Linked DNA regions of Kluyveromyces lactis. The protein of the gene in region 1 binds, or shares a complex with, the protein of each later gene. Links are inferred from orthologs where the notes say so. Each region holds a gene or a part of one and is shown on either strand. Other genes may lie near its edges. The genes, in order: KGD1 and KGD4.

Region 1 (4,574 bases):
CAATATAGAGCCACTTTACGTTTCCTCAATTCTTTTTGATGTTAAATCACTGATTCTTTTCCTTCTTAATCATAACAATTGCCTGGAGTTTTCAACTATAAAATTTCCGAAGATGAGTTGAGCCTCAAAAACCTGTAGTCTAGTGTAGCTTAACCTTGAGAGTAGTAGTATTGGAAGTATCGAACGAAGATTGATTGAAACATCTTGAACCAAGTGATAATCAAGCAATGGTCAAGTGACAGCAAAGAATTTCTCGCGACCGAGTTGGGTTGACGAATGTCCGTACACCACATACCGTCAACCGCACTCAGCCTTTGCTTACACTTTAAAACCCATCAGCCAGTCTGGCACGGAGTTGCATAGTACTTATCTGAATATGGAATACTGAAAAGAAAATGTTGAAACGTTACCCGGAATTCCGGGCTGTCCCACAAAATGAATCTGGTAGTTTCCCGTCTTCGAATCCGAAAACGGGTCACCGGACCCCTACTCGCAGACCATGCCCTACAGCTTTTACTATCTGGCATTCTCGTATTGTTGAAAACTGAGTAAGCGGCACTAAAACACTTGTTTGTTCCACCATGTAGCAAGGAAACCTTATGCAAAAACCACATAAAGCTGCTAGAGAGCTACAGGCATTAAAGGTATCAGTACCGATTCGAAGAAAGAAAGAAAATGGGAGTGAGGATCAAAACCGGGGAAATGGCACGAGAGAGATATTGGTGGTCCATTTAATAGTTGAATGAGTGCTTTTTTTTCACACAAAATCGTGAATATATATAGTGCATCTACTATTTCCTATATAAATACTGGTTCTTACTATTTTTATAGAAGAGGTATTTATTATTTTCAAGATTCAAGAGGCCTGCCTTAATACAATTAAGATAGGAGACAGAAGGAAAATAATAACGGAGTTTATTATTTGCCTGTTAAATTAAACTCGTCTAGTAAACGCAATACTCGACTCTCTGGCACTGTTTGAGTTCTGCTTACTCTAATTTAGTTTTTTTGTTGGTATTTCTGTTTTTTATCGGCTAAAAAGTATAAAAGATACAGGATTTATACATTAATTTCACTGCTTATTTAAGTGAAAGAGAACGGGAAATTAAAAAAATCGGGGGTATTTTTTCAAGATCTTCCGACAAGAAAAAAAAGATTGAAGAAGCTTTATTTCAACTTCGTGTTCGCAAGTAGGATATCTCTTTTTTTCAATTAATTAGGAACGTTAACAAAAACAGTCAATTTTGAATCGAAGTTTTTGCCTGTTGTCGTCTTAGTTTCTGACTCTACTACTATCAAGTACTTCTTCTTTTGTTCCCTTTTTTTGTGAGTAATTTTGGATTGAAAATTCACAAAGAAGAGCCATAAAAAAATAAAAACAAAAGAAGATATAAACGAGAAAGATTCATTGAAAGTTAATCATCGTTGAAAAGTTCAACATTTTGTGAATTGCAAGGGATTTTTTTACTTGATAACTGGATATATCAATTTTACAACACACGTACAGAACAAAGCGACCATCTATTGATTTAAGGTTTGTGTTTTGCTTCTTTCGTTATACAGAAAAGAACAAAAAATAACTGTCTTTTGAACAATGTTGAGAACTATAAGGTCATCTCAGCGTTTGTTACATGCTTCTAAATTCACCAGGATCGGTGCTGTAAGCAAACCGACTTCCTTGGCTGTTTTCAGTCGTGGATTGGCTAGTGGTGCATCTTCGACGGACAACTTCCTGTCCACCACCAATGCATCATATATCGATGAGATGTACGAAGCTTGGCAAAAGGATCCCACTTCAGTTCATGTCTCTTGGGATGCTTATTTCAAGAACATGGGTAATCTGAATATTCCAGCCTCTTCTGCCTTCACCGCCCCACCAACATTAATTCCAATACCAACGGGTCCTGGTGTGCCTCAAGATATATTGATAGGGGGTTCGTTAAGTGGCGTTGACCAAGACATCACAACACATTTAAAAGTGCAACTTTTGTGCCGTGCTTACCAAGTAAGAGGTCACCAGAAGGCTCATATTGATCCGTTACAAATTTCATTTGGTGATGATAAGAGTAAACCTCTACCTCGTGAGTTGACTTTGGAACACTATGGATTCACAGAAAAGGATCTAGATAGAGATATCACATTGGGACCCGGTATCTTGCCACGTTTCTCTCGTGATGGTAGAAAGACCATGAAACTAAGAGAAATTATTGCTGCTTTGGAAAAATTGTACTGTTCTGGATACGGTATCGAATACATTCATATCCCTTCAAAAGAACAATGTGAATGGTTAAGAGAAAGAATTGAAATCCCACAACCTTATAATTATACCGTAGACCAAAAGAGACAAATTTTGGATAGACTGACTTGGGCTACTTCTTTTGAAACTTTCTTATCTACTAAATTCCCTAACGATAAGAGATTCGGTTTGGAAGGTTTAGAAGGTGTTGTTCCTGGTATCAAGACCTTGATTGACCGTTCCGTTGAATTAGGTGTTGAAGATGTTGTCTTGGGTATGGCTCATCGTGGTAGATTAAACGTTTTGTCTAATGTGGTGCGTAAACCAAACGAATCCATCTTCTCAGAATTTAAGGGTTCTGTTGCTCCAGAAGAATACGAGGGTTCCGGTGATGTGAAATATCATTTGGGTATGAATTACCAAAGACCAACTACCTCTGGTAAATACGTTAACTTGTCTTTGGTTGCTAACCCATCTCATTTGGAAGCCGCTGATCCTGTTGTTTTGGGTAGAACTAGAGCCATCCAGTTCTCTAAGAACGATATTGGCAAGTATGACAAGGCCATCAGCGTCCTATTGCACGGTGATGCTGCTTTCGCTGCTCAAGGTATCGTTTACGAAACCATGGGTTTCCTACATTTGCCAGCATACTCTACTGGTGGTACCATTCACGTTATCACAAACAACCAAATCGGTTTCACTACTGATCCAAGATTCGCTAGATCAACTCTATACCCATCTGATTTGGGTAAAACCATTGATGCTCCTATCTTCCATGTAAATGCCAACGATGTTGAAGCTCTTACATTCATTTTCAACTTGGCTGCTGAATGGAGAGCTACTTTCCACACTGATGCCATTATTGACGTCGTCGGATGGAGAAAGCATGGTCATAATGAAACTGACCAACCTTCCTTCACACAACCATTAATGTACCAAAAGATTTCTAAGCAAAAATCTGTCATTGACGTTTACACGGAAAAGTTGGTATCTGAAGGTTCCTTCACCAAGCAAGATATCGATGAACATAAGAAATGGGTTTGGGGTCTATTCGAGGAAGCATATGAGAAGGCAAAGGACTATAAGCCAACTTCAAGAGAATGGTTAACTGCTGCTTGGGAAGGTTTCAAGTCTCCAAAGGCTTTAGCTACTGAAATCTTATCCCACGAACCAACCGTCGTTGATGCTGATACTTTGAAGAACATTGGTAAGACCATCTCCTCATGGCCAGAGAACTTCGAAGTTCATAAGAACTTGAAGAGAATTTTAACCAACAGAGGTAAAGCAGTTGAATCCGGTGAAGGTATTGACTGGTCTACCGGTGAAGCATTAGCTTTCGGTTCCTTAGTGTTGGAAGGTAATCACGTCAGAGTTTCTGGTGAAGATGTTGAAAGAGGTACCTTTTCACAAAGACATGCTGTTCTTCACGACCAAAAATCCGAGAATACTTACACTCCATTAAAGCACTTGTCTGAAAAACAAGCTAACTTCACCATCTGTAATTCTTCGTTGTCTGAATACGGTTGTATGGGTTTCGAGTATGGTTACTCTTTGACTAACCCAGATTATTTCGTTGTTTGGGAAGCTCAATTCGGTGATTTCGCCAACACTGCTCAAGTCATCATCGATCAATTCATTGCCGCTGGTGAAGTGAAATGGAAGCAAAGATCCGGGTTAGTCTTGTCCTTGCCTCACGGTTACGATGGTCAAGGTCCAGAGCATTCTTCAGGTAGATTGGAGAGATTCTTGCAACTAGGTAACGAAGATCCAAGATATTTCCCAAGTGAAGAAAAGTTGCAAAGACAACATCAAGATTGTAACTTCCAAATTGTTTATCCAACCACTCCAGCCAACTTATTCCACATCCTAAGAAGACAACAACATAGACAATTCCGTAAGCCACTGGCATTGTTCTTCTCTAAGCAATTGTTACGTCACCCATTGGCTAGATCCAACTTGAACGAATTCACCGAAGGTGGCTTCCAATGGATCATAGAAGATGTCGAATTAGGTAAGAGCATTGCACCAAAGGAAGAGATTAAGCGAGTTGTTTTATTGTCAGGTCAAGTTTACACTGCTTTGCATAAAAAACGTGAAACTATCCAAGACAAGAACACTGCATTCATTAAGATTGAACAACTACATCCATTCCCATACGCTCAATTGCGTGATGCCTTAAACACCTATCCAAACTTGGAAGACATCGTTTGGTGTCAAGAAGAACCATTAAACATGGGTGGATGGGCATATGCTCAACCAAGATTGCAAACTACCTTGAAGGAAACTGACAAATACAAGGATGCTATTATTAGATATGCTGGTAGAAACCCAAGTGGTT
Region 2 (2,581 bases), on another chromosome or scaffold:
GAGCAAGACGAAGAGCAAGATGACGAGAAAGAACACGAAAAAGAACATGAACAGGATGAAGACCAAGAACAAGAACAAGATGATGAAAACACGAAACTTGCTGAGAAAGCTGGTACCAGCATCAAAAATAATAATAATATTACAGCCTCAGACCTGGAAACTGACAAATCATCCTCAAGTAATTCGATAGATGGTACCACCACTCCTGGTACCGAGACTTCAATCAACACTTCCAAGAGTCAATCCAAATCATTGAAAAGAAATAACATACCAAAACCACTTACGTTAAAATCAAAGCAAAATACACCTAATGGATCATTACCCAATATAAGGTCAGCTCCACCGATGGTAACAAGACATCCAATTCCAAGTTCACATACATTCTCACAAAGAACCAGCAGAGTGTCGAAACCAAGAGTCATTTATAAAGGCCGGTCTTTGACCAGAAACTTAGCGGGCCAAATTCCGATGTTTCAAACTTCGTCACCCATCGTGCCGCGTCCCCTGATGAGACATCAATATGCGCCAATGACAGCTTACCCTACAACCACCGCACCACCTCACACCCAACGTAGTTTCGAACAATTCGTGTCGAACCCTATCAGAGCCACTAATTCAGTGACAAGGGACGTTTTCAAGGATGAAACTACAAGAATTGCTCCATTAAGCGTACAACCTAAATCCACCAAGAGAGAATTCTTTGATGCCATTGAAATCGAAGACCATAGCAACAACGTCGTCATAGAAGGCGATATACAACTGATGATGGAAAATTTCCAATTCCATTTCGATTCAACGGACCCTCAAATGGATAAGAAGCTCTTCCTCAGCATTTGTTCCAAAATATGGGACGATGTAGTAAGCAGGGAATAGGCGCTCCTTTTCCCCACCCTCATATAACATATTTGTAACTTTAAACAACTTGATCGAGTGCATGGCGTCACTAGACCATCCAGATGAATAACGGTTGGGACAGACGTGACACTCTGTCACGTGACACTCGTGGTCACGTGGCTCACGTAATCGGATTTCCGGTCGTCCTCTACGCGTTCCCAATCGGGGCCGATACAATGGCCGGGTAATATATTAATTCCTCGAAGTATCCCAATATGCTTGCCAACCTTTAACGGTCTTGATGTATATATATATATACATACTCTCTATCAGTTTTATTAAGGCTCTCGGTTTATAAGGTTCCTGTAACTGAGTAGATTGCCAATTAACAGATAAAATTGTTGGTTACTTGTGAATCGTTGATTGAACAGTCGAAGTAAGAATAGTAACCAGGTTTTTTTCCCACTTTTGTGTTAAGGTTTCCTCATTTTGTGATACATCCGATTTTGATTCCCGAAGGTATTGCAATTCAAGATCGTTATTTAGACCATTCACTTGCTGTAAGAAGTGATTAATCCACCGTGACGTTCATTGATAGATTAACGAGATCAGTGACCCAGATATTGAAAAAGGCTCGCGGATCTGGTGTTGAAACTTTGAATAAAGAGATTATAAAGCCTGTAAAGATGCGTGCTTCCACTCTTAACTTGGCTAAAGCAGTCAAATATGTTCCTTCAATCAAGTTTGTTGGCGGCCCTCACCCTGTAGTGACCCATTCTGCTGCGGATGCTGGTTTACATCCTTGTACCGTTGACTCACTAAGGCCTGGTGCTCCCGGTTGTTCTACGGTCGAAGAAGTCGCAAAGAAATGGCTTCCATTCAAGGTGGTTCCATACGTGAACTCAAATAAGAGTGCTTCCGGTAAGGGTTCCTCTACTAAAGCTGCTGGTAATTCACCAAAATATGTGTTTAAAAACAGACCTTTGGAAGAAAATGAAGTTGGATCCATATCACAATTACCCCCAAGATTCAAACTGAGACCTATGGACGAACAAGAGATAGAAATCATTAACGGAGGTGGTATATGATAGGATCTCCTTTTTTTCAGCCTCTCATTTTTCCATAATCGTTAAAGAAACATAATACCAATACATTTATTTATCATAGTTGTACGAACTCACTTGGTTCTGCAATATCTACGACTCATTGAACAGCAAACGATCCATTTCGAATACAATTCTTTTTTTTTTAGAAAACACCATTATCTATTATGATTAATACAACAATTCTACTTTTACCTATTAATTATTACATCTATAACCTTTTGGTGCCAAACATCCTTGCCATTCTTTTGTCTATGTGATTGGTCCTGCCCAGGCAATGGGATAAGGATGAATTTTTTTCAAATTATCACGCTAATCTGTATATCAAAGAATCATTGTAAAACCTTGGATCGCCATGGAAAAACTGATATTATATTTGTCTAATCCTTGCTGTTTGCACCTTTTATTTACCTGTTTCAACACAGTGATTTTGGGATCCTCTTCTGAATCGATATCCTTCACATGTGTTAGAATCACATGCAAGCTAAAATTCTCTGGCTTCACATCGTATACCTCTATTAGCCTTTTCAATTCCCATATAATATGCTGAGGACACAAGTGCCCGTATAATTTGCTTGTATCCACTTCGTCTGTGTTAGAACACTCAAGTACGATGGCCTTCAAGTTATTAATGGGTACATTCT

Evidence for each region.
Region 2: KGD1 (region 1) and KGD4 share a complex: the UniProt entries of both Saccharomyces cerevisiae proteins name them as parts of the 2-oxoglutarate dehydrogenase complex. The link is inferred for Kluyveromyces lactis from reciprocal best matches to the Saccharomyces cerevisiae genes KGD1 and KGD4.

Annotation. Positions count from the first base shown.
Region 1 is NC_006042.1:429,806-434,379, reverse strand, and holds the start of KGD1 (alpha-ketoglutarate dehydrogenase KGD1), read left to right. Parts: upstream 1-1,594; coding exon 1,595-4,574. UniProt on the Saccharomyces cerevisiae protein: The 2-oxoglutarate dehydrogenase complex catalyzes the overall conversion of 2-oxoglutarate to succinyl-CoA and CO(2).
Region 2 is NC_006040.1:990,039-992,619, reverse strand, and holds KGD4 (alpha-ketoglutarate dehydrogenase subunit KGD4), read left to right. Parts: upstream 1-1,520; coding exon 1,521-1,922; downstream 1,923-2,581. Other genes in the region: DIG1 (Dig1p), read left to right, coding at 1-873; 3',5'-cyclic-nucleotide phosphodiesterase PDE1, read right to left, coding at 2,262-2,581. UniProt on the Saccharomyces cerevisiae protein: Molecular adapter that is necessary to a form a stable 2-oxoglutarate dehydrogenase enzyme complex (OGDC).